Linked DNA regions of Pelodiscus sinensis. The protein of the gene in region 3 purifies or fractionates together with the protein of the main gene of each other region. This does not show direct contact. Links are inferred from orthologs where the notes say so. Each region holds a gene or a part of one and is shown on either strand. Other genes may lie near its edges.

Region 1 (7,570 bases), on a different chromosome or scaffold from region 3:
TATGAGGGGTCTGGGGTGGGGTGGGGGAGATGCCACCCCAGACCTCTCATAGCCGCCCTTTCCAATAGTCCGGCTCTGCCCCAGGCGTCCCTGATTCAGCCGCTGCTGGTCAGTTTCAGCAGCGGCTGAATTGGGGAAGTCCGGTAGCGCCGACCCTTGGCACGGCGAGACCAACCCGGCAGCACCCCAGCTGCTCTTGGGGACGCCTGGGGCAGAGCAGCTGGGGTGCTGCTGGGTTGGGTTCCGCAGCGCTGCTCCTCGGCGCTACTGGACCAACCTGGAAGCACCCCAGCTGCTCTGTCCCAGGTGTCCCCAAGTCAGCCACTGCTGAAACTGATCGGGGCTGACTCCAGGAAGCCCGGGGCAGAGCAGCTCTGCCTCGGGCTTCCTGGAGTCAGCTGCTGGTCAGTTTCAGCAGCGTCTGAATCGGGGACAGCTGGGTCGTTGCTGGGTTGGGTTCCGCAGCCCCGAGGGGCAGTGCTATGGGACCAACCCGGCAGTGCCCCAGCTGCTCTGCCCCCGGCTTCCCCGATTCAGCCGCTGGTCAGTTTTAGCAGCAGCTGAATTGGGGAACCTGGGGGCAGAGCAGCTCCAATGGTCCGGCTGCCCGGAGCACTTCCGGGTTCCTGATGGTGCCGGACCATCAGGAGTACCGGACCATCAGATGCCGGACCATCAGAGTTTTACTGTATATCACATCCACCGCTTCTCCCTTATCCACAAGACTCGTTATCCTATTAAAGAAAGCTATCAGATTGGTTTCACATGATTTGTTCTTTACAAATCCATGCTGGCTGTTCGCTATCACCTTGCCACTTGCCAAGTGTTTACAGATGATTTCCTTAATTACTTGCTCCATTATCTTCCCTGGCACAGAAGTTAAACTAACCGGTCTGTAGTTTCCTGGGTTATTCTTATTTCCCTTTTTATAGATGGGCACTATATTTGCCCTTTTCCAGTCCTCTGGAATCTCTCCTGTCTCCCATTATTTTCCAAAGATGATAGAGGAGGTATCTGAGCCTCTAGATATCAGCTCCTTTAGTATTCTAGGATGCATTTCATCAGGCCCTGGTGACTTGCAAGCATCTAACTTTTCTAGGTGATTTTTAACTTGTTCTTTTTTTATTTTACCTTCTAAAACTACCCCCTTCCCACTAGCATTCACTATGTTAAGTGTTCCTTCAGACTTCTCAGTGAAGACCTAAACAAAGAAGTCATTGAGCATCTCTGCCATATCCAAGTTTCCTGTTAAATATTATATATAATATATTATATTGTTATACCACAAGCTACAAGATAACAGTGGTATGACTTACAGCATAAACCAGAGGTTCCTAGATGCTATTTTTATATGTCCCTTTGCTTCCATAGAACAGTAACATATCTCATTGGGCAAACTGAGGACTGACATGCAAGGTGTATATGTGTATTAATGATACAGGATGCACACATTTCAGAATATTCTTCCTTACACTGGGGCACAGAATTGCCTGTCAGGGATGGCAAGATGGTTTTTGGAGAGCAGGATTGCCCTAACTCCAATCCTTTATCTCCTCATATAAAAGCAGGTAGTCTGGCAATCACAACAGGGTTCTTATATAAGATCCATGTATGTGGCATAAGAGTGACCTCCAGCGGCCAGAGTCAAGATGATTAAACAAAGATTCTTTAAATCCTATTCACAACAGTCAAGTTCACAGTAAATCAGACTATTCTGAGGCCAACATTCAATAAGTTTATGGAAGTGCAAGTGAAACACTACAGTCAAATAATGATCTAACAAAGAAATCTGGGACACTGAGCGGGTGAGGTAATATCTTTTATTGGACCAGTTTCTGGTGGTGACACACACAAGAGAGGAAGCATCTCAAACTTGAAGAAAAGCTCTGTGTAATCACAAAAGTTTGTCTCACCAACAGAAGCTGATCCAATAAAAGATACCACCTCATAGGGATGTAGCAACTAGTCGCTTTCCCCCCTGCAGCCTCTATGGGAGGGTGGGGGGAAGGGAGAGCAGGAGCTGGGGGGAGGTGGCTTGAAAGCCAGGCAGAGGTGTAGTGGGGGACCAGGCGATCAGGGAATCAGCTGATTCCTGGCTTGTGCCCATTCCCTCCCTACTGCTGTGCTTGTGTTTTTTAAATATATTAAGGCCGCCAGGAAATTCCATTAGTTGATTAAACACAGTTTAATATCCCTACTACCTCCTCCACTTGTTTCACTAATATCCTGGGATAACAGTATTAGAACACTGCATATGTTAAAAAAAAAATCTTCCTCACATTTGACAACTCTCCCTGAATAAAACTTGAGAAATCTTGAAGAGAAAATGAGACCTGGTTTTAAAATTCTGCTTCAATATCAGGTTCAACGATCCCTATATTAGATCCACCTCAGTAAAGCTAAACAGTATCTGCCAGTCAGAAAGACTGAGCTCTAGCCAAGGAAACCAAATATAGGAGCCTACCCACAACTCTGGACAGTTCAGTCACAGGAGATACTATAAACAGGACTATGTAGCACTGTAAAGACTAACAAGATGGTTTATTAGATGATGAGCTTTCGTGGGCCAGACCCACTTCCTCAGATCAAATAGTGGAAGAAAATTGTCACAACCATAGATACCAAAGGATACAATTAAAAAAAATGAACAAATATGAAAAGGACAAATCACATTTCATAACAGAAGAGGGTTGGTATCTATGGCTGTGACACTATTTGATCTGAGGAAGTGGGTCTGGCCCACGAAAGCTCATCACCTAATAAACCATCTTGTTAGTCTTTAAAGTGCTGCATTGTCCTGCGTTTTGTTTCAGCTGCACCAGACTCACACGCTGCGTTTCTATCACTATTCTAGGAGACACTGGCAGGGAACAGACCCTCTCCCAGGAAAGTATCCAGAGACCGGACACTCCAGGGATTTCTCTCCAGCAGCCGAGCTGACTGAGCGGGGGCCTCTGCTCTTCCCACAGGAGCGCGGGAGGGTGACCAGGGCCCTGCGGGAACCCGCCTGGTCTCCGCGACACGTTCTGAGGCAAGTCCCGAGCCGCGCGGGGCGCTCACGGGGACGCGCAGCGCGAGCCAAGCGGGTCCCGCTCCGCATCCCTGGCAACGCCGGCGCCTCCAGCGGAGCCCAGCCCCGCCCCGGGCCAGAGATCGGGCGGGGGACGCGGGGCCGATCCCGGCACCTTCTCCAGCCGCCACTCGTCCGGCTCCCGCCTATCGGCCGCCAGCGCCTCGCAGCGGCTCAGCAGCCGCCGCAGGTTCAGCTCCAGCCGAGGGGCCGCCATCGCTCCGACCCGGAAGCGGAACCCGCCCGCCGCGCGAACACTTCCGAGTCCCGCCCACGTGGCAGGGCGGGGCGCTTCCGCCCACCAGGCACGCTGCGGAGGGGCGGGGCCAGAGGCTGCTGGAGCCCGCGGCGGCACGTGGGGGAAGGGGAGGAGCCTCTGCAGCTTCCCCGCCCCCAGGAGCCTGCACGTGGCGTTACAGGGCCCACAGGCGGCAGCGCGGGGACATTACAGGCCAGGGGGCAGAGGAACGATGCAGGAAAAGACTCTAGTAGCCCCCCCCCCCCCCACTATTTGCCCATGAGGAGGCTGAGAGGGGAAGCCCCGGAGGCTGCAACTTGAAAAAAAGCGAGTAGACTTATAGCACCTTAGAGACTAACAAAAAGAGCAGAGTCGTGTCTGTAACAAAAACCAGGACTTGTAGCACTTTGAAGACTAAGAAGATGTTACATACCAAAGTGCTATATAGTCCTGTTTTTTGTTTCAGCTACACCAGACTAACAGGGCTACATTTCTATCACTAGTCAGTCTGTAGAGATTCTATATATAGATATATAGAGAGAGAGAGAGACACTCATGAACTTTCATAGGGAATCAGATGAGTAAAAAGTGGAAAATAATTGTGTGTCATTCCCCCCCCCCCCACTCCCGTCCCCCTTCTCATCTGAGAAAGTGAATTTTGCCACAAAAGCTCATAAGCAATACATATAGAGGTTCCTTAGTCTCTAAGATGCTACAGGAGTCCTCAGTTTTTAAAGTTACAGACTAACCCGGCTAGCCCCGCTTGAGACTTCAAATATATATAGGATCTAGGGATGCAATAGTAGAATCAATTAACTGAGTAGCAAAAGCTTATCTGTTAACGCTATCGACTACACACATTGCCACCGCAGTAAATTTTTTGGTAGGCTCTGCCCAGACTTGCACCAGATCCAGGCCCTAAGCCTGCTATGGCTTTGCCTTTAAAGTTTATTAGGAGCCAAGCAAGCAGGCAGCCTGGCTCAGTTCTGGCTTGCGCCATGTCTGGGAGTTCAGAACCTACCCGAACAGGGGCTGCTGCCACCCTGCGCTGCTGCCTCTGTATCAGAGGCAGCAGCATGGGGCGACAGGCAGACGGTCTGCAAGGGGAACTGGTTTTTAAACTGGCTCTCCTCAAGCACCAGCTCGTGCCTGACACCCCATGCTGCTGCCTCTGATACAGAAACAGCAGCATGGAGTGGCAGGGGTCTCCTCAAAAGTGGGGCTGGATTGCACTGGTTGCCAACCCCACCCCCAGAGACTATAGAATAGTTGAGTAACCAATAAGCATTCATGAGGTTAATTGACTATTCAATTAACTAATATTTAACATCCCTATTATGATCATGAACTTTTTGTGGGAAAAACCCACTTTATCAGATGAGTTGGAATGGAAATGTCACTTGCCAGCACATTAACCAGGCCTTGATCTCATAATTTAGCTCACGTTACAGAGGTTTAACAATAAAATTAGTTTACATTTGAGCTACAACCACTGTTTCATTTAACTATATCACTGACCTTTTCAGAGGCAGGCTGTTCGTGGTGACAAAACAGCTACATAATTCCCCTAACTTCAGATTAAATTTCTCCAAATTCCTTTTGAAAACATCTCTTCACTACAACCTTCAAATGACAGTCCTCCTCCGAGAATTACTTGGCATACGTGGAAGGTAGACCTTTCGCTGGCTGTTGATCCATTGGACTGTGCCTTGGCTTGCGTTGTCTGACCACTTTAGTTTATGACCACCTTGGGCTAGGATCATTGATGCCTAGCTGTACAGTAATGAACACACTGATGTATTAGCCAATAAGTTCAGCAAGACATGCTGGATTTATTCTGTGCCCTGATACTACCCCACAGGAAGTGAGCAATAACAAGTTGAAGTTAGTCCAGCTACTAAAAGGCATTGTAATTTTCACACACATTTTGGCTATATTAAAAAGTCTCTCAAGGCATATGGAAGAGTCTCACTAGCTGTTTCAAATTGTGCTTGGGGTTGCCTGACAATGTACAGAAAAAGAGTATTCATTATCACAGGACTAATCCTGTTCTAATCTCAGGCAGGAGGCAATTTTTTAAATTAAGCTAATTAATTTTGTGTCATATGCTAAGAAAAAAAAACAAATATTTTGTCCATGATGCCCTACCTACCTGATGGCAGCATTCTGCATCTAATTGGAAAGTTTGTGAAATCCAGTGCTTGAATTTTCCAGTTCACCTCCAACCAGCAAACTAAAGTGTTTACAAAAGTGCCTTTTTATGTCAATGTGTGGTCTCCACTGACTCAGCAACTGTTCTAACTACAAGGTGGTACATTTGTTCCTTCACCACTCATTGCAACCGCAGCATTTTTAATTATAATTAAGCAGCAGGAGTGGCTGACTCAATTGTCAAAACTGTTTGCACAGAAAATAGGGGTTTCCGTTTATTTTTTGTAAAAAATAGCTGCAATCTGCAGAAAAAAATACATGGGAATTGTGCATCCATTCTTCTCTCTGGAGCAGGCTCTCCTGCTAAACTACTTCTCCCATGTAGCACTACAGCTGGGACTGCTGTAATGCATGACTTTTCCCACCAAGATACTTTGGTATATCATGGGAAATGGTACACCTTTAGGAGCATGGCACAGAGGCATCCAAACTAAAATTCCCATGAGGCACCATAACATTTCCAAATCAAAATGTATCTTATTTAAAGTACAAATTCAAAGTTTTCCATGGAAAAAGCCATATCTTCCTACCAGCTCTAACACACCTTTGTGTGACAAGTCTCAGGGATAGCCCTGTTAGTCTATATCTGTAAAAACAACAAGGAGAACGTAGCACCTCAAAGGCTAGCAGATGTATTTGGGCATAATCTTTCATGGGTAAAAACCCACTTTGTCAGAACCATGGGAGACCAAGTGGTTGGTTTTTTTTATACCAACAAAAGCTTATTCCCAAATACATTTGTTAATCTTTAAGGTGCCACAGGACTCCTTGTTTTTACACATGTATGCATTGTTTGATACTTGGCAATGAGAAGACTGGAAGGGATTCTTGATTGGAGCCAGTAAGTGAACATAAGAATGGCCATATTGGGTCAGACCATATTGGGCCATTGGTGGATCTAATCTCCATGAATTTATCTAGTTCTTTTTTGAATCCTGTTAAAGGCCTGGTCTTCACAACATCCTCTGGCAAGGAGTTCCACAAGTTGACTGTGCGCTGCGTGAAGAAAAACTTCCCTTTGTTTATTTTAAACCTGCTACTTATTCATTTCATTTGGTGACCCCTAGTTTTTGTGTTATGGGAACAAGTACATAATTTTTCCTTTTTAACTTTTTAACACACCAGTCATGATTTTATAGATCTCTATCATACCCCCTTAGTCGCCTCTTTTCTAAGCTGAAAAGTCCATCTTTTTAATCTTTCTTCATTTGGAACCCGTTCCAAATCCCTCATCATTTTTGTTGCCTTTTTCTGAACCTTTTCCAATATATCTTTTTTGAGATGAGGTGACCACATCTGTACGCAGTGTTCAAATGGAGTTCTTCGTATCAGCGGAAAGCCTGCTGCCCCGTCTATGCTCCCAGTTCACACTGGTAGAGGAGAGCTGGGGGTTGACTCACATGGCCCAAGTTTTAGAAGCTGTTTGTGCTTGCATGTGCTCATGCTTGATGACTTTTGCAGCACTGTGATGCACAACAGATGCTGAACAAAGCCTTGCACAAAGTTGCCCAACTGTGACAACTGCATTTACTGAGCAATGTGATTATACTTGTATGCAAAGCACTGAACTCTCAGAAAACCAACGCCTTTGGTGATTGGTATTTACCCTGCAGAACTCTTTCCAAATCCTTTTAAGGAAGTGTTGGGAAAAGGCATGAATCTCAAGAAAGCCGATCCACTTTTGGTCAGAATTAAGTGTCTTCTTTCTACTCAAGAGCACTCGAGAAGGGCGGACATTGTAGCAATAGGACATTGATAACACGTGTTTTTAAAAAGTGCAATGTATTAATAAACATTTGGATATGTTTTTGGTCTCAGTTAAGACAAGTACATTAACAGTTTTGTAAACAAAAAGAACTTTTCATAAAACATAAAAAAATGGAATATGGAAAAACCTAGTGACTAACTCAGTCAGGCCTATTACAGCCCATCGTAAGCAAATACAAGGCAGCACAGCAGGAGAAACTGGGGTTTTTTTGCAGACTCAAGTCCCAGTATTTTGCTTCGTGACCGAAACTGTTTTAGAGCCTACTCCACCCTCCAAAGTTGCT
Region 2 (8,220 bases), on a different chromosome or scaffold from region 3:
CACAATTTGTTCAATTAAGGTTTATCAGACAGGCAGAAGTTGGGCTCCAGTTTCTATACAGCATACAGTAACAATAAATGAAAAAGTTTATTTTATTTCTCATATTCATCAGATTTCCTGATGTGCCCAAGGACACAAGTCCCACTGAAACTTCTAAGGAATCATGAAAAGCTTGAAGATTCCACAAGCAATTTTGAAAGTCCCCCCTTCCCCCAAAAAAACTTTTTGAAGATTTACACTATCCGCTTCTATACTTGAACTAAAAAGCCTCGTTCTTCAATTGTTTTTAATCCCTAAAAGTAAGTCATTTACTCTATTAGGAACATTAAAATGTATTCTCCTTTAATGTATCTCCACTGAGCCTTACATGCACCATGCAGTTACAGAGAAACCCTTCTTCCAATCCATTAAGAAACCTCCTTTTACGATACATTCATGTTTGACAGACAGCTTCAAATTTTACTGTTAGAACATTTCAGAAATAAAATCTATATAAGGCTCCTATCTACATTTGCAATGACAATGTGCCCATTTGAAATATCTATTAAGCATTGATGTTTTTAGCTGCCTACCACACACATTAAGGTTCCCCGGGCAATCTTAAAATTCAGTCTCCCTATGCATATGCATTATCATGCAGTCTTTAATTATGATTTTAAACATATTTTCCCAGAGGTGCTCCTAACTATGAAGTGGGGTCAGGGAATGTGTGTGGAGGAGCGTGGTTAGGGCAGGATGCTTGTCCCACTCTTCTCTGCAAGGCACTGCCAAGCACCCTGCCTCCACCACACTCCTCCGCAGATATTACCCCGATCCTTCTTCCCAGTAAGCACCAGGCAGGACAAAGCAGGACAAGTACCCATATAGAGTCCTTTTTCTGAACAGTTGCAAAAAAGCAAACATGCTTCTGGGATGCATTAATAGGAGTATTGTGAGCACGACACAAGAAGTCATTCTTCTGCTCTACTCTGCCCTGATTAGGCCTCAGTTGGAGTACTGTGTCCAGTTCTGGGCACCACATTTCAAGAAAGATGTGGAGAAACTGAAAAAGGTCCAGAGAAAGAGCAACGAGAATGATTAAAAGTCTAGAAAACATGAGCTATGAGGGAAGACTGAAAGAACTGGGCTTGTTTATTTTAGAAAAGAGAAGACTGAGAGGGGACATGGTAACAGTTTTCAAGTACAGGCAGTCCCCGGGTTACATGGATCCGACTTACATCAGATCCCTACTTACAAACGGGGTGAGGCAACCCCGCACTAGCTGTTCCCCCCAGCAGACCAGGGAGACGCAGAGCGGCTTTTCTCAGCAGACACCTCAGCTTGAGAATAAAGGACTGAGGGAAGTGAGGTGTGGGAGAATAAAACGGAGCTCTGGAGAAATGTTTGGCTAGAGTTTCCCCTACAATATGTACCAGTTCTGACTTACATACAAATTCAACTTAAGAACAAACCTACAGTCCCTATCTTGTACGTAACCCGGGGACTGCCTGTATCTAAAGCGATGTTACAAGGAGGGGGAGAAAAATTGTTCTCCTTGGCCTCTGATGACAGGATAAGAAACAATGGGCTGAAATTGCAGCAAGGGCGGTTTAGGTTGGACATTAGGAAAAACTTAACTGTCAGGGTGGTTAAACACTGGAATAAATTGCCTAGGGAGGTTGTGGAATCTCCATCACCAGAGATATTTAAGAGCAGGTTGGACAGACGTCTATCAGGGATAATCTAGACAGTGTTTGGTCCTCCCGTGAGGACAGGCAACTGGATTTGATGACCTCTCAAAGTCCCTTCCAGTTCTAGTATTCTATGATTTACACATCTGCTCCAATAGCCACAAAAATTAATTGGAAGCAAATACCTATGGATTTCTGCAGAAATTGCAGTACTCTATTCTTGAAAAGTGTTCTTAGTATCCATTAACTAGAAAGTGGAAATTAAAACACTGTTTGCTCAGTTATTTCCCTAATTAAATTTTTCATGAAGTATCTGTGTTTTAACTAGAAATGTGTGTAATTGACAAGTCTAACTGATAAGACTAAGCTTATCGGTTAATCTTATAGTCAACTACACTTTGACATGCCTAGTATTGGGGGAAAGGGAGGGGTGCGTATTTTACACACACAAACAATTTGAAATCAAAACATAAATACAAGGAACAACTTTACAGCAGAAATGTAACCTCTAAAATGTAAGACAGACAGCTGATTTAGCACAAAGTGGAAAAGAATAGAGAAATAAATGGAAGATGAAAAATTTGTCCCTGAGGATACACGGCCAAGCCACTACTCACCAGCCACTGAAAACAAGGTTTCTCAGTGGCTCACACAGAACAAACAGAACCTCAACAAATTACCATCTTCCAATTAGTAAAGTTTAAATAATATCCAACTTTTGTGCTTTGATGTCTACTTATGCCATCCTCTGTAAAACACACGAAGTATGTTATGTTCTCCCCATTCAGTATACGGGGCAGATCTGCCAACCAAGACCTGCCATAGCTTTAATAGGAAATAACTTCATTTTGCATCATACACTGTTTACTTGATAGAGGGCCTGGTTTCCCTAAGTGCAACCCGTACTGACTCTTTTGGCGCTGTTAGCTAACCTCTTCTGAAGAGCAGGCTCAAAGTAAATTGCACAACGAATACTTCTACCCGACAGCCTTCTGTACTTTTGCTAAAAAGCAAAAACCTCACCAATATTGGTTAACGGTATAAAAAGCAAAGGGGCAGCGGCAACGCCGGCTTGAAGCGCTTTCCATCATACAGCGCACACAGCGGTGTTCAAGGGCTCCCCGCACCCCGGGACTGCAGCAGCCCGCGTGCAGGAGCGAGGTGCCAAACGGGAGCGGGCCGCCTCCCCCCTGGCTGAGCGACACACGCCAGGTGTTTGGTACGTGCCCGGGATGCTCCTTAAGGTGTCAGGAGCCGCTGCCTGCCAGGGTGGCCCCAGCAGCCTTAGTAGCCGGGAGAGAAGAAGGCCCCTCGCTCGCTCGGGATGACGGGGGGTCTCGCGCGTGGAAGGTGCCCCCAACGGTAGCCCGACCCCTCGTCGCTGGGGGACAAGGAGACCGCGCCGTGCGCCCGCCCTCCCGCGCCTTGCAGGGCTCAACGTGGCCACCCCGCCCCCACCTGGGTCACTCCCACCCAGCTGAGCGGCGGGGGGGCGGGGGGGGCAGACTGACCTGCACCTCGGTCTCCGGCGGCCACTCGGTGTTGATGAGCAGGTCGTAGAGGATGTTTTCCTCCTCGTCCCCGCTAGCGACCCCCGCCGCCGCCTCCCAGCTCCCAGCGGCAGCAGCCATGAGACACCAGCTACGGCGCCCGGCTGCGGACAAACCTCTCACTCACTCCTCCTGGCGGGGAGGAGGGAAAGAGATGTTTAACCCTTTCCGCTCTGCTGCTGTCTGCATAGGGCAAGTGGAGGCCACGGCCACACCAAAAAAAACTGAAAAAAACAACGAGTGGTCCAGTAGCACCATATTTTTTGTTAGAAACGAATACAACTATATATAGTATCATGAGCTCATGATACTATAATATATCAGGGGTCTGCAACCTATGGCTCTAGAACAAATTTGGAACCAAAGATGGCCCTTTTGTCAATCCCAAAATACACATTTTTTTAAGTTAAAATGAAACATTTAAAATTTTAAAAACGTGTAATTACTCATGTCAAGATGATTTGTTTTGTCTATTTCACCTTTAAGTGTTCACTTTAACCACACTCTGCACCCTCCCTTGCTCTTGCTTCCTTCCCCCCGGCCGGACACCCTACACCCAGCCTGCTTCTGCACACTACCTCCCACCCACACCTTGCACCCTCACCCCTTCCTGTTCCCCAGATCCTGCACCCCCATCCCTATCTCACTCACTAGCAGCCCATCCAGCACACTGAAACTCTCATTTTTCTCCCCACCCCCAGAGTCCTGAGGTGTCTCAGGTGGGAGCCACATCACTGACGGTTGGCGTAGTTCTTCTGTTTCTCACTTGTGTGTTCCCCAGCTGATTTTTCTATTGGTCAGTGGCCCCCCAACCCAAAAAAGGTTCCCTGCCCATTCCATTGTGGAAGAAAACATTGTCCTCGCTCTGAGTTTGTAAGCAACAAGTAGCCAGAGGCAGTTTTATTACAAGCTGCAGCAAGGGAAAAACTGGTTCGGACGGGGGGGGGGGAAGTCCCCCCAAGGCAGATCTTCAGATACAAGCAATTATGAAGAGTTTATATACTGTCCATTATATATAATAACAACAACAATTAGTCTCCTTCCCATTACAGACACCAATGGCTAACAGTTATTTAGTTCCACCCAGATGCTCCTTATCTCAAGGTCCCTGCTAGAGTCAGCATTCTATCCTTATCTCCGTATGGAGGCAAGAGGCAAAGGCAGTGTCTAAGTACAGATCTCGCGTTGTCAGGCCACAGACTTAGCCTGACTCTTGCTCTCTTGTTAACAAGACCAAGATGGCTGCACACAAATTCCCGTATTCCCTTTTCCTGCCTCCACACCATAAATAAAGAAAACATTGAAACCTTTTGTTTGCGACATAAATTAATACTTTATTTAAAATGAAGTTTGATAAACTAACAGGAGAAAGTTCAAACACTTAATTTGTTTAATAATTTAAATTAAACCATTCTCCTTAGCTGCAGGACTTGCAAAATGGCTCAGGCATAATTATGTCATTAACTCTGAATTTCCATTGCAGCTGGTGGTCTACAGAAAGGTCTTCATTGAGGCGGATGGTCCATAGACCAAAAAGTTTGAGAACCACTGTATTACAGGATCAGCACCCTAGAATGCACAATCATCGAGACAAATAGTGTTAATTTAGGAGAAACACAAAGAAAATAATAAACTACATAGTATTTTTTTTAAATGTGTGTATAGTATTTTTTGTAATGTAGACTTCTTACAACAAAAAGAAGATCACACTTTACTGCTAACCTTTTCTATTTTTAGTATTTTAATAATCTCTTTTTAAATTTGCAGTCAGCTATGTGGTCTAGTTTTAGATACTGACAAAAGTGTGGAATTACAAGGCCTAGCACTCTATGCCATAGACGGTTTAAATTAAACATTACAGAAATAGTGCCATTTGAGAAGAAATTTCTACTGAGTTCTGATTGTTTCTTTAGATTAATATTTTTAATTTATTTATGTTTTTCAAGGTAAAAGGGTGACAACAGCAGTGCATCTGTCCAATGTTCACAATTTATAAGAACAATATGAGGTTCACAGTACATTTTTCCTTTAGCGTTACAGATCTGGCAACAAGTGCTTCAACAGCTTCACATGGGCACCTCAACTTTTTTTAAAATAATTGCATTAGTATAATATTTTATGACTCCATTGAAATGTAAAACATGAAGATGATGGATTAGATAGAAATGAGTTAAGGACTGTAAAGTACAAAGAGGAGCCAGAAAATAAACATCATTTAAACAAACTATATTAAAATTGATCTCATCTGAATATAATGCAAAGGTGTATAGCAGAGATGAAACTGATACCCACTAAAATATGGCCTTTGGTCTTTGGTTACTAATGAAAGACAGCTAACAAAAACGATCCAAAACACCACTGGTGACAAACGAAATCTGGTATTAAAGTACTAGAATATTTATTGCAATATTCCTAATACTTACCTTCTCATATACACCAGAATAAGTCAGTAACAATGAATATGCTCTAAATGGTAACACACTTGGACAGAAGGTGCTGAACTCAATTCTCATGACAGGAATTAGTTTAGCCATTATTCATGCCACTGTGCAATAGTACATATTGCATTGTTATAGAAGCTGTCCTTTGGATGAAATCTACACCAAGGTGCTTTCTTCTTCTCTCTGGGGAAGTCTCAATGGAATTTTAAAAGTTCTGTGTATCATTTTGACAACAGGAAGGAATCACCATGATGCTCTACTCTCATGCTTTCTCTTTGATAAACTAGTTTATAATTGGCCAAATTCACAAATAATGTGAAATGGTGAAGTTACACTTGTTTAGTTCCCAGTTTGAGGTTAATCCTATATTTACAGTTCCAGATCCAGAGGTTTTCACTCAATAGAGGTTCTTGTCAATAGGAGTTTGTTTCAACAGAAACAGAGCAGAAACTGAGCAGTAAAAGTTGAGTAAGGACTTCAGGAATAGATTATTAAAAATAAGTTAGAACTGATTATTATTCCGTATGTGTAAGTAAAGATACTTTCAAACAAACATACTCTTCTAGAAGATTAAATAACTATGAAACCAGGCTATACCAATCTACTTGTTTAGAGGTGACAACAACTGTATAATTTAAAGATAAAATATTCAAAGTAAACAGATAGTTTGGGCTTAGGTTCAAGTCAAGAGTTCAGTTTCAGCTTTGGATTAAATGAGCAGTGTTACTAATTTTCTAAGGGTGTGTCTAGACAACAGCGCTATTTCAAGACATCCGTGTAAACATAATTCCACGACAATTTTGTAATAGCACTCTATTTCAAAATTAACTCAAAATAAGCTATGGAATTTACATAGCTCAAATTGAGTAGCTTATTTTGAGCTAAGGGTGCAGTATACATGCACCCTAAATTGTACTGTAATTCTCATTCTATTTGGTATTTGGTATTTTTGTTAAAGTTGCAGCAAGATCCTAGCTCTGTCCAAGAGAGTTGATGACTTGGAAGTCTAGAGTGAGTAGCCTTCTTGGAGCAGAGAGTGCAGTCCCTTGAACCTGTGACAAAAATAACCCAAAAGCAGCGAAAAGTCCTGTAGCACCTTATAGACTAATACAAATGTTGGAGCATAAGCTTTCGTGGGCGAAGACCCATTTTGTCAGATGCTTTAGCCCACGAAAGCTTATGCTCCAACACTTCTGTTAGTCTATAAGGTGCCACAGGACTCCTCACCACTTTTGCAGATTCAGACTAACGCGGCTACCCCTCTGATACAAAAAAACCCCAGATTTTCAAGTGAATATTTTCAGATTTGGAAGCCTGACTCTTCAGTCTTGAGAAAACAACAAATAGTCCTTGAACACTTGGTGCGGACAACACTGAGTCTGAATGAGGATTCAGAACTTGGGTTCAGTTTGGCTCATGGTCTCAGGTTTACTAGCTGGGTTACAATTCACAACATGATCTTGATCTGGTCAGTCTCTGTGTGGTTTCAAATTAGGTACACTGAATGGGTTAGGGATGTTAAGGACTAGCAAATGCGTATCGGATAGTCTCTCGACTAGTCAACTAGTCGATTCCCCACCACCACCACCACCTCCCTGCTACCTCTATGAGATAGAGGCAGAAAAGAGGGGGAGTACTTCAAAGCAGCAGTGCCACACAACTGAGCCGGGAATCAGCTATGCGGCACTGCCGCTTTGAAACCCCAATGCGGTGTTTCAAAGGGGAAGCCGCTGCACAGCTGATCTGCAGCTCAGTTGTGCAGCACTGCCCCTTTAAAACACCACTTCCATGGAGCCCGGAGTCAGCTAACACCAGGTTCTGAGCGGCATTTCCCCAGAAGCCAGGGTCTGGGGAAATGCCGTTCGGAACTCGGGATCAGCTGGGGAGCTGGCCTCGGATTCCAGGGAAATGCTGCATCGAACCTGGAGTCAGCTGGGGAGTTCCCAGCTGACCCTAGGCTCCCACTAGGGGGGACTCTTGTGCATTTCAAAGCAAGCCACCCGCACGCAGTCTTGAGTCAGTAGCTGTATGCACTGGCCTCAGGCTGTATGGGGAGTTCCGCATTCCTCCTTTGAAATATACAAGAGCCCCAGTGGACATTTAAAAGGAGAAATGCGGAAGTGCCTATCGACTAGTTGAGTAGTCGATGGAAATACCATCGACTATTCAACTAGTCAATTAACCACATTTTAACATCCCTAGTATGGGTCAGTCTGGGATAATCAGAGTTAGTTCTGGGCTAGTCAGGCTAAGTGTTCATAGTTAGTTTGGGCTGGTCAGGGGTAAAGATGTTAAATTGTAGTTAACTGATTAATCAACTAGTCGATAGGCACTTCCGCATTCCGCCTTTGAAACGTCCGCTGGGGCTCTTGTACATTTCAAAGGAGGAATGCAGAACTCCGTATACAGCCCAGGGCCAGCAGGGAGTCCTGATGATTCTGGGCTGCAAGTGTCGTGCTTGCTTTGAGATGTACAAGAGTCCCTAGCATGGGCTCTTGTGCATTTCAAAGCCATGCATGCCATGAAGAGCCTGGGGTCAGCTGGGGACTCCTCAGCTGA
Region 3 (7,887 bases):
TCCTTTGATATAAAAGCAGATATACTAAAATCGAAGCATAAGGTGTGATACAATTTACAATTACAGGTTGGACTGCCTTGTTCTGGAACTGTCAGGAACCAAGGAGTTTTGTGGAGCAAGGGAGGTCAAGGCTCCCCTCCTAGCCATAAGCCCCTCTCCTGGGTGCCAGCCCTGGCCACTGGGCTCTGCTCCCAGCCCTATCCAGGACTGAACTCCCCGCCGCCAGCCCCACACTCCCAGCCATGCTGGCACCGTTGCCATCAGCTTACGCCAGGGCTGAGCTCCCCACTGCCGGCCTGGGCAGTGCGCCCAGCCTCTGGCTCTGCTGTCATTGGCCAGAGCTCCACTTCTGACCCTGGCTGCCCCCACTCCCAGCCGAGCTCTCTGGTCCAGCAATATCCATAATTCTGCCTGACCACATTTGTTGCTGGACTAGAGAATACCAGATTTTAGAGTTTCAGCCTGTATTATGTTTTTCTCAACTAGAGAGGGTAGCTAATTCAGTAAATTAGCAGCTAATTTGATATTGCTGATACCCTTGGTTTGAATCTAGGTAGTTTAGAATGACTCTGAAAGGCCCCCAAAGGACCCCCAAAGAGTGTATTCATTTACATGGATAACCGATAAGCATGAGCATATTGGTTACCCAAACAATTACACACCAGCTCCCAGTGTGACTCCCAGAGAGTCGATTGCTGCCCCATGCTGCTGCCTCTGATACAGAGGCAGCAGCAGAGGTTGGCAGGTGGAATTGGTACACACAGGGAACCAGCTTAAAAGCCAGCTCCCAACACACACTGGCTCCAGGGAGGCTGACTGCCATCCCGTGCTGCTGCCTCTAAATCAGTACAAGTAGCGAGCCGGCTTAAAATCTGGGTCCCAGCGCACACCAGCTCACGTTGCTGCCTCTGTATCAAAGGTGGCAACCACTTTCCTGGGAGCAGGCCAGCAGGTGGGAGCCGGTACATGCCAGGAACTGACTCTGTATGAGAGTATGCAGTGCAGGGTGGTAGCCTGTTCCCCAGGAGTGGGGCTGGCAGCAGGAAGCACACTGGCTGCCGGCCCCATTCCCAGGGAGCCAGCATATAACTCCTAAAAGTTTTAGAGGCTACACAGTTACAATAACAACTGTTTTTTAACATCCCTAGTCCCCAGTAACCAGACAACAATCAACCCTCTCTCATACGCCAAAGAATAGAGAGCAGTGAGAATCAACAAATTAGACTCAAAGGTCAACTTATTGCTGCTTTTCAGCAGACTATTGGCAACAATGGAAGTGATAAGAATCATGTCAGTTTCCTTCTGCTGATTTTAGAGAAAGCTACAAGTGTCAGTCCATTTAAAAGGTTACCGTTGTACATTTCATTTCTGCAGAACTTGTCAGCTTAGATGCCATCAATTATCAGAGAAAGTATATTTGCAAGACACATACTTGTGGAATGAGACTACTATTTTTAATTATCTTACACAATACATAAGCAATTCGAAATACTCAATATTATAGCTAATAAATGTCTCCAAGACATTAGTACTGTAGTGTCACCCTGGTATAACCTTAATTCTACCTAACACACGGGAATGCAGACTTCCATGTCTCTGGAAAACCCAATTAAATCCTATTACAAGCACCATTAATAGTCTTGCTTTTGCCAATCAGCAGCTCATTTTTGTAGTGAGACACATGTTGTACCTCACCTGTATTCTGAGACGTAAATATTGAAACTTTTCTTTTACTTTGGCATTCAGTTCTGTAAGCACATTTAAGGGTCCTTGACAATCCCTGATATCCTAAAAGAAATAACATACACCACAAGCATGCTTGAGTAAGAGCTGTAGATTGGTAATGCAATTGAATATGTTTATTATTTATTTAATTAGTTTTTGAGAAGGCGCAGGGTATTTCTGCTGAATGAGATACAGGAAGAAACAGGACTTTTTCACTTGTGAGGAATTTGAATGTTTGCAGTGTGATTAAAGATTAACATGGGGTCTCACGTTCAGATTTTATATAAACATGGTGGCTGTCTCTAGACTGGCAAGTTTTTCCGCAAAAGCAACTGCTTTTCTGGAAAAACTTGCCAGCTGTCTACATTGGCCGCTTGAATTTCCGCAAGAACACTGACGATCTCATGTAAGAAATCAGTGCTTCTTGCGGAAATACTATGCTGCTCCCGTTCAGGCAAAAGTCCTTTTGCGCAAAAGGGCCAGTGTAGACAGCTGAGATTTGTTTTCCGCAAAAAAGCCCCGATCGCGAAAATGGCGATCGGGGCTTTTTTGCGCAAAAGCGCATCTAGATTGGCACGGACACTTTTCCGCAAAAAGTGCTTTTGCGGAAAAGCTTCCGTGCCAATCTAGACGCTCTTTTCCGCAAATGCTTTTGACAGAAAACTTTTCCGTTAAAAGCATTTGCGGAAAATCATGCCAGTCTAGACGTAGCCTATCAGTATTATGTTATAAAAGTGGAAAAAACCATAACACAGAGCCCATTACACTAGGCAGACTTCATTGCATTGTGACTCCCTTTTGACAACAAAAATTATTACATGTGGCTGGGAGGGCGAAGCGGATGAAAAATGAGCCCACCCAACTTCTGCCACCCTGGATGGGAGGAGAAGGCTAAAAAAGACCCAGGACTTCAGTCCTAGGCAAGGGGCCTGTAACCTAAGCCTCACCATAAAGGGCTGAAGCTGTTGGGCTTTGGATTAGGCCCCAGGCTGCAGAACTTGGGTTTTGGCCCAAAGCCCCACCACACCTAACATCCACCCTGGCAACCCCATTACAATGAGGTCACAAAGCAGTTTGAAAAAACCGCTGCACTGCACAGAAACTCAGCCAGTGGCGTTGTACTGCTGTATTAGCCTTTTAGTGGGGCAGGGCTGGTCAAGTTTGTGAAAATTAGTTAGCCAAGCACCAGAGAATTAAACTCAGATTTTTACTGCCCTTCCACGTAAGCACCTGCCCGCTCCTAACTGCCGACTCTGCAGCGCCGGGAAGGGACGTGGCCGGGGCGGAGAGGTGCACAGAGACACGGGTCCCCGAGCGGGCCCCAGGTGTGGGGGAGAAGAGTCTGGACTGGGAAGAGGCGCAAACACCGCCCCGAATGAGCCCAGCTGCCCACGAGCGATCCCCGCCTACCGGAAAGGGGGCAGAAGGCCGGGCGGGGGGGAAAGCCTCCAGAGATGACCCCCGAGCGGAGCAGGCGGGCAGGGCCCTGGGCCCGGGTGACCCACACACGGGAGGGGGAGAGGCCGCTACCCCTCCTCAGGGAGGTGCCGCGGGGGCGCCGGAAAGGGGCCCGGCGCGTGCGGACAACGCTACCTGCACCGCCGCTTTAATCTCCAAGTCAAATTTGACAATTTCCTGGTTACAGACCCGGACGGGCACGTCCCCGACCGCCGCCATCTTGCGAACTACGGGAAGCGAGAGGGACCAAAATCAATACACCATCCCCCCCCCCCCCCCCGCTCCCGCCGAAGGCGGCAGTCGCGCCACCTAGTGGCCGCGTCCTGTAGGCACAGGGAATGGGAATACTGGGCCTCCCTCCCTGGTTCGAGGGATGCACTTGCCTAGGGCCACACACTGCCCCAGCGAGCAGGCTTGGGCCGGGCTGCCTGTGTACTATACTGAGTAGCAGTGTTTGCAACCCAGCTCCAAATAAACTCAGGGGCTGGTGCCACTTTCCAAAATCGTGATATTACCACTTGCAGGCCTATCCTGAGTGTCACCCTCCCTCCCCAGCTGCAGGGGTTGCCTTCAAAACAGGCAAATGTGTAAAGAATCTGTAAGAAATGTAGGTTCTGATTCTGTTCGGCGTCAGGCTTTTCTCCACAGCCCCGAGCATTTAAACCATATTTGTTTTTAACAGTCACTGGAGATATTTAAGAGCAGGTTGGATAGACATCAATCAGGGATGAGCTAAAGGGGAGGGGAGGAAGGGGCTTTTTTGTGTTGGGCCGCACGTAACTGAGAAGCAAAAATAAAAAAACAAACCCTCACTGACATGGCCCCTGGCTGAGAAAGACACCCTGTCTATGGCCTGCAGTCCCCTGTCCAGGGGCTCAAAGAGGAGCACAAGGAGAGGGGGTGCTGACCTGGAGCAGAAGGCAGCTGCCTGGGACCAGCTGCAACACCAGCATGAGGCCATGTGCTCCTCCCTCACCACAGTGATGGAGCACATGGCCTCATGCATGGAGCAGGCCACTAGCCATCTTGCTGCCCCGTCCACCCAGGAGCCACGAGTGCCCCAGAACACATGGTGGTGGGACCTCTCAGGCAGCGGAAGCCTCCCGACCACCTGGGGGAAGGTACCAGTCCCATCCCTGAGGCCCCTTTTGCTTCTCCCCTGTTCAGGAGTGGCCCAAGGCCAGCTGCAGCAGCTGGCACCCCAGCGGGCAGCGCAACTGGCGCCTCCCCCCCCTGCACGGCCGTCAATGGCTGTGACGTCATCATTGGGTGCCCGGGCCAGCGGCGCTCTAGGCAACTGCCTAGTTCGCCTAGGCTCACGGGCCACCTCTGCCCGTTTCAGATTCTTTCCCTAGTACCTCCCCTGTTGTATATTCCCCCCTGCCCTCCCCGAACAGTCCTGTTTCACAAAAGAAGGCTTTTTTATTTGCTCTGCAAGGGAGGGGGAGGAAGGTGGGAAAGGAGGGCAGGGGAAGGGAGGAGTGGGGAAGGAAAGGCACACAGAGGTAATGCAAGGGCACCTTCTGGAGAGGCACGGGGGAAAGTCTCACAGCTGGCCTTGTACAAAACTCTCCTGATGAGCACAGCCCCTTGACGTGCTCTCTGTATGGTGCTGGTGTCTAGCTGCTTGTATGCCCCAGCCAGACATTCAGCCTCTGCCCCCCCCCACCCTGGCAATAAGTCTCCCCGCTGCTCTCACACAGGTGGCGGAGCACACAGCAGGCCAGCAGCACGAAGGGGATGTTGTCCTTGCTGAGGCCCAGATGGGTGAGGTGACTCCTGAACTTCCCCTTTAACTGGCCAAATGCACATTCCAGCTCCATGCCACACCTGCTCAGCCTGGTGTTGAAGTGCATCTTGGTGTGGGAGTATCCAGGCTGCTCATCTAAAGTTTCATGGAGCAAAGGGTAGGCTGCGTCGCCCAGGATGCAAATGGACATGTCTCTCATGGTGTGGTCAGGGAAAAAAGTGCCAGCGTGCATCTTTTGGAATAGGCAGAAGCTCCAGAAGATGCAGGCATCATGCACCTTTCTCGACCAGCCAACGACCTCAGTGAATAATACTTTATGATCCACGAGGGCCTTCAGCACCATGGTTGATGTAGTCTGAGGCCTGGTGGTCAGGGGCCAGGATGGGGCTGAGAGTGCTGTCTATGGCCCCCTGCAGTTGGGGAAGCCCATGGCGGCAAAGTTGTCCACAATGCTGTCCACATTCCCCAGAGTAACGAGCCTCTGTAGCAGCATGTGGTTGACAGCCCGGGCTACCTGCAGGAGCAGGGTCCTGACTGTAGATTTCACCATGCCAAACTGGTTCCCAGTGTAGCAGCAGCTGTCCGGCGTGGCGATCTGTCACAGGGTGATGTCAATACACTTCTACACAGGGATGGCAGGTCTCAGTTGGGTGTTCTGTCACTTGAGGGAAGGGGCGAGCCACTCGCAGAGCTCCAGGAAGGTGGTCTTCTACATGCTTAAGTTCTGGAGCCACTGCTGGTTGTCTGATAGCTACAGGACAATGCAGTCTCACCAGTCCAAACTGGTCTCCCGCCACCAGAAGTGGCGCTCCACGATGTCCAGGGGATTGAGGGGCATGCACAGCAGCAGGAGCACCAGGACCTGGGTTATCAAGGACTGTGGTCCAGCTGGTCATTGTCCTGCTGGAGCAGCATGCGGTCAGTTTGTAAGTACCATGCCATGAGGTGCAGCATGAGGCTCGTGAGCCTGGCACTGCTTTGCAGCCACTCCGGCTCCATGCTGTGAGTGCTGTGGCATCCGCAAGGGCAACCAGAGCACACTGCATCCATTTTGTGTGCCACGAGGGGGAAGGCAGTGGAGGAGTGGTGTGTGAGATGCGGCCATAGAGAGGAGCCCCTCAAAACATGCATTGCAGCTTGCTGGACCAAGCAGCCCCTGGAAGTGTCTGCGCTCCTGGTGCCCTCCCCAGAGTGCTTCCAAGGACTCCAAGTCCAAGGCAGGCGCCAATCAGTGTGGACACACTATTTTGAAATAATTCTGACTGATTTCAATGCTCCCCCATAGTGGGAACATGCTATTTCAGTTTTGTTAACTAAATTAGAAATAATTCCCAATTTATTTCCAGGCATGGCCCCACCCACCCTCCACCCCCAGAATGCCTGCGGTAGGTGTTCTGGGGACAGAGTGTTGCTGCTCCAGGGCTGGGGATGCCAGGCCAGGCCCCATGGCGCGCCCTCCTCTCTCTCCCAGTATTCCACAGCTGGGCAAGCCAGGTGGTGCAGCACACCCTACCTACCTCTTCCCTTCCCCGGTGCTCAAGAGGTTGGGCTGGGGCAGGCCATGCAGTGCAGTGCGGTGTACCTTCCACCAGGGCTGGGGAGGCTGTGGCAAGCGTGTGCCCCCTCACCGGCTGTTAATGGTAATTTCAAAATAATTTCCTAGTGTAGATATGTCTTTACTGAAAGTATCAATTCAGAGAGAATTGCTTAGAGACAAGGCTACTTACGGCCCAAGACGGGGCTTCCACAATAAGGCACACTAAACCAGGCGCCAAGAGCACTTCAGTTTACCACACTGGCTAACAAGAAGTCATACAAACAATTCCCTCACACACTCCATTTCTCTTGTGCTTGTGCCACCTCCGGTAACACCCCTTGTACAGCTGCGATGTTATGAAAACCAATCTCTTCCAATTCCACAGGACTAGCCACATCCCCAAACCAATTTGTAACTGCGAATCTTACACAAACTGCATGCCATCACCAACTCTTTCCTTAGACTTTAAAGGAGAGTTAAAAATCTAACAATTTTAGATTTAGGTTTCTTTGATTTACCCTTCCTTTTTATAAAAAAAAGTGCAATTGTGGGATGTGAAGTTCTTGGTTCATGCTTGTAACAGTAATGGAATAAACTGCTGGCTTAAGTGAAGTCTTTGGAGTACATCCACTTGTTAGGATGGGCCATTCAGTCCTTTAGTCCTCCAGAGGTGAGAGACAGGATTGAATATAAAATGAAGTCCCTATGGTATTCTATATTCTTGGCCACGAGGAGGGACTCCCATTGTTCTTGCTGTGGAAAAGTACAGCTACAAGATAGTGTTTGTCATGTGAGCAAGTCACCTGTCCATGCATGACTCAGTTCTTTACAGGTAGAAGCCATTGCTTCCAGGCTAGTCTGAACGCTCACAGTAAAGCTCAGCAGATGTGGACTGGCACCTCCTAAGATAGATTGTCAGTCAAGTACTTCTACATAACTTGAATAGCTGAGACACTGGCCAAGCCTCCAGCTGGTGTCTCCCAGAAGCACACATTTGAAATACAAGTACATAGCCAATACACAGAGACAATACACATAAGTTCAAATATAAAAATGATACATACATATGAATGGCATAAACATAAGCAGTGAATTGTAAACTTCTCACAGACACCTCACTTGTCCCACTTTGTGGCAGCCACTGTTCTGGTTGCATTCGATTTTGTACAATGATTTGTTTGGCCAGATCATAAGTCAGTAATATCACATACTCTGCTCCATGTATTGGCTGATAATAAGCACTGCAATCGCTCTCCACTTCCTGCTGCCCCAGGTGCCCTTAGGTAGCATAGCCGCTCCCTGCCCTGTGCAGACCTATTGACCCTGTGGCAGTATAATGGCTCCAAATCTGCTGTCCACTACTACTAGCGGCTTTAATGCAGGAGCTATCCCAGCCTGCACCTTCTACTGCCCCAAG

The links. Proteins that work in one complex are often made in the same cells at the same time.
Region 1: the proteins of BNIP1 (region 3) and USE1 purify together in Homo sapiens (co-immunoprecipitation; 4 studies listed by BioGRID and IntAct, counting the BioPlex papers as one, with this or other methods). This does not show direct contact. The link is inferred for Pelodiscus sinensis from reciprocal best matches to the Homo sapiens genes BNIP1 and USE1.
Region 2: the proteins of BNIP1 (region 3) and NBAS purify together in Homo sapiens (co-immunoprecipitation; 3 studies listed by BioGRID and IntAct, with this or other methods). This does not show direct contact. The link is inferred for Pelodiscus sinensis from reciprocal best matches to the Homo sapiens genes BNIP1 and NBAS.

Annotation. Positions count from the first base shown.
Region 1 is NC_134729.1:20,832,142-20,839,711, forward strand, and holds the start of USE1 (vesicle transport protein USE1), read right to left. Parts: upstream 3,343-7,570; 5' UTR 3,288-3,342; coding exon 3,186-3,287; intron 3,151-3,185; exon of another isoform or gene 2,855-3,150; intron 1-2,854.
Region 2 is NC_134713.1:22,929,548-22,937,767, reverse strand, and holds the start of NBAS (NBAS subunit of NRZ tethering complex), read right to left. Parts: upstream 3,343-8,220; 5' UTR 3,302-3,342; coding exon 3,182-3,301; intron 1-3,181. UniProt on the Homo sapiens protein: Involved in Golgi-to-endoplasmic reticulum (ER) retrograde transport; the function is proposed to depend on its association in the NRZ complex which is believed to play a role in SNARE assembly at the ER. Required for normal embryonic development.
Region 3 is NC_134727.1:18,397,520-18,405,406, reverse strand, and holds the start of BNIP1 (vesicle transport protein SEC20), read right to left. Parts: upstream 3,465-7,887; 5' UTR 3,403-3,464; coding exon 3,319-3,402; intron 1,789-3,318; coding exon 1,696-1,788; intron 3-1,695; coding exon 1-2. UniProt on the Homo sapiens protein: As part of a SNARE complex may be involved in endoplasmic reticulum membranes fusion and be required for the maintenance of endoplasmic reticulum organization. Also plays a role in apoptosis.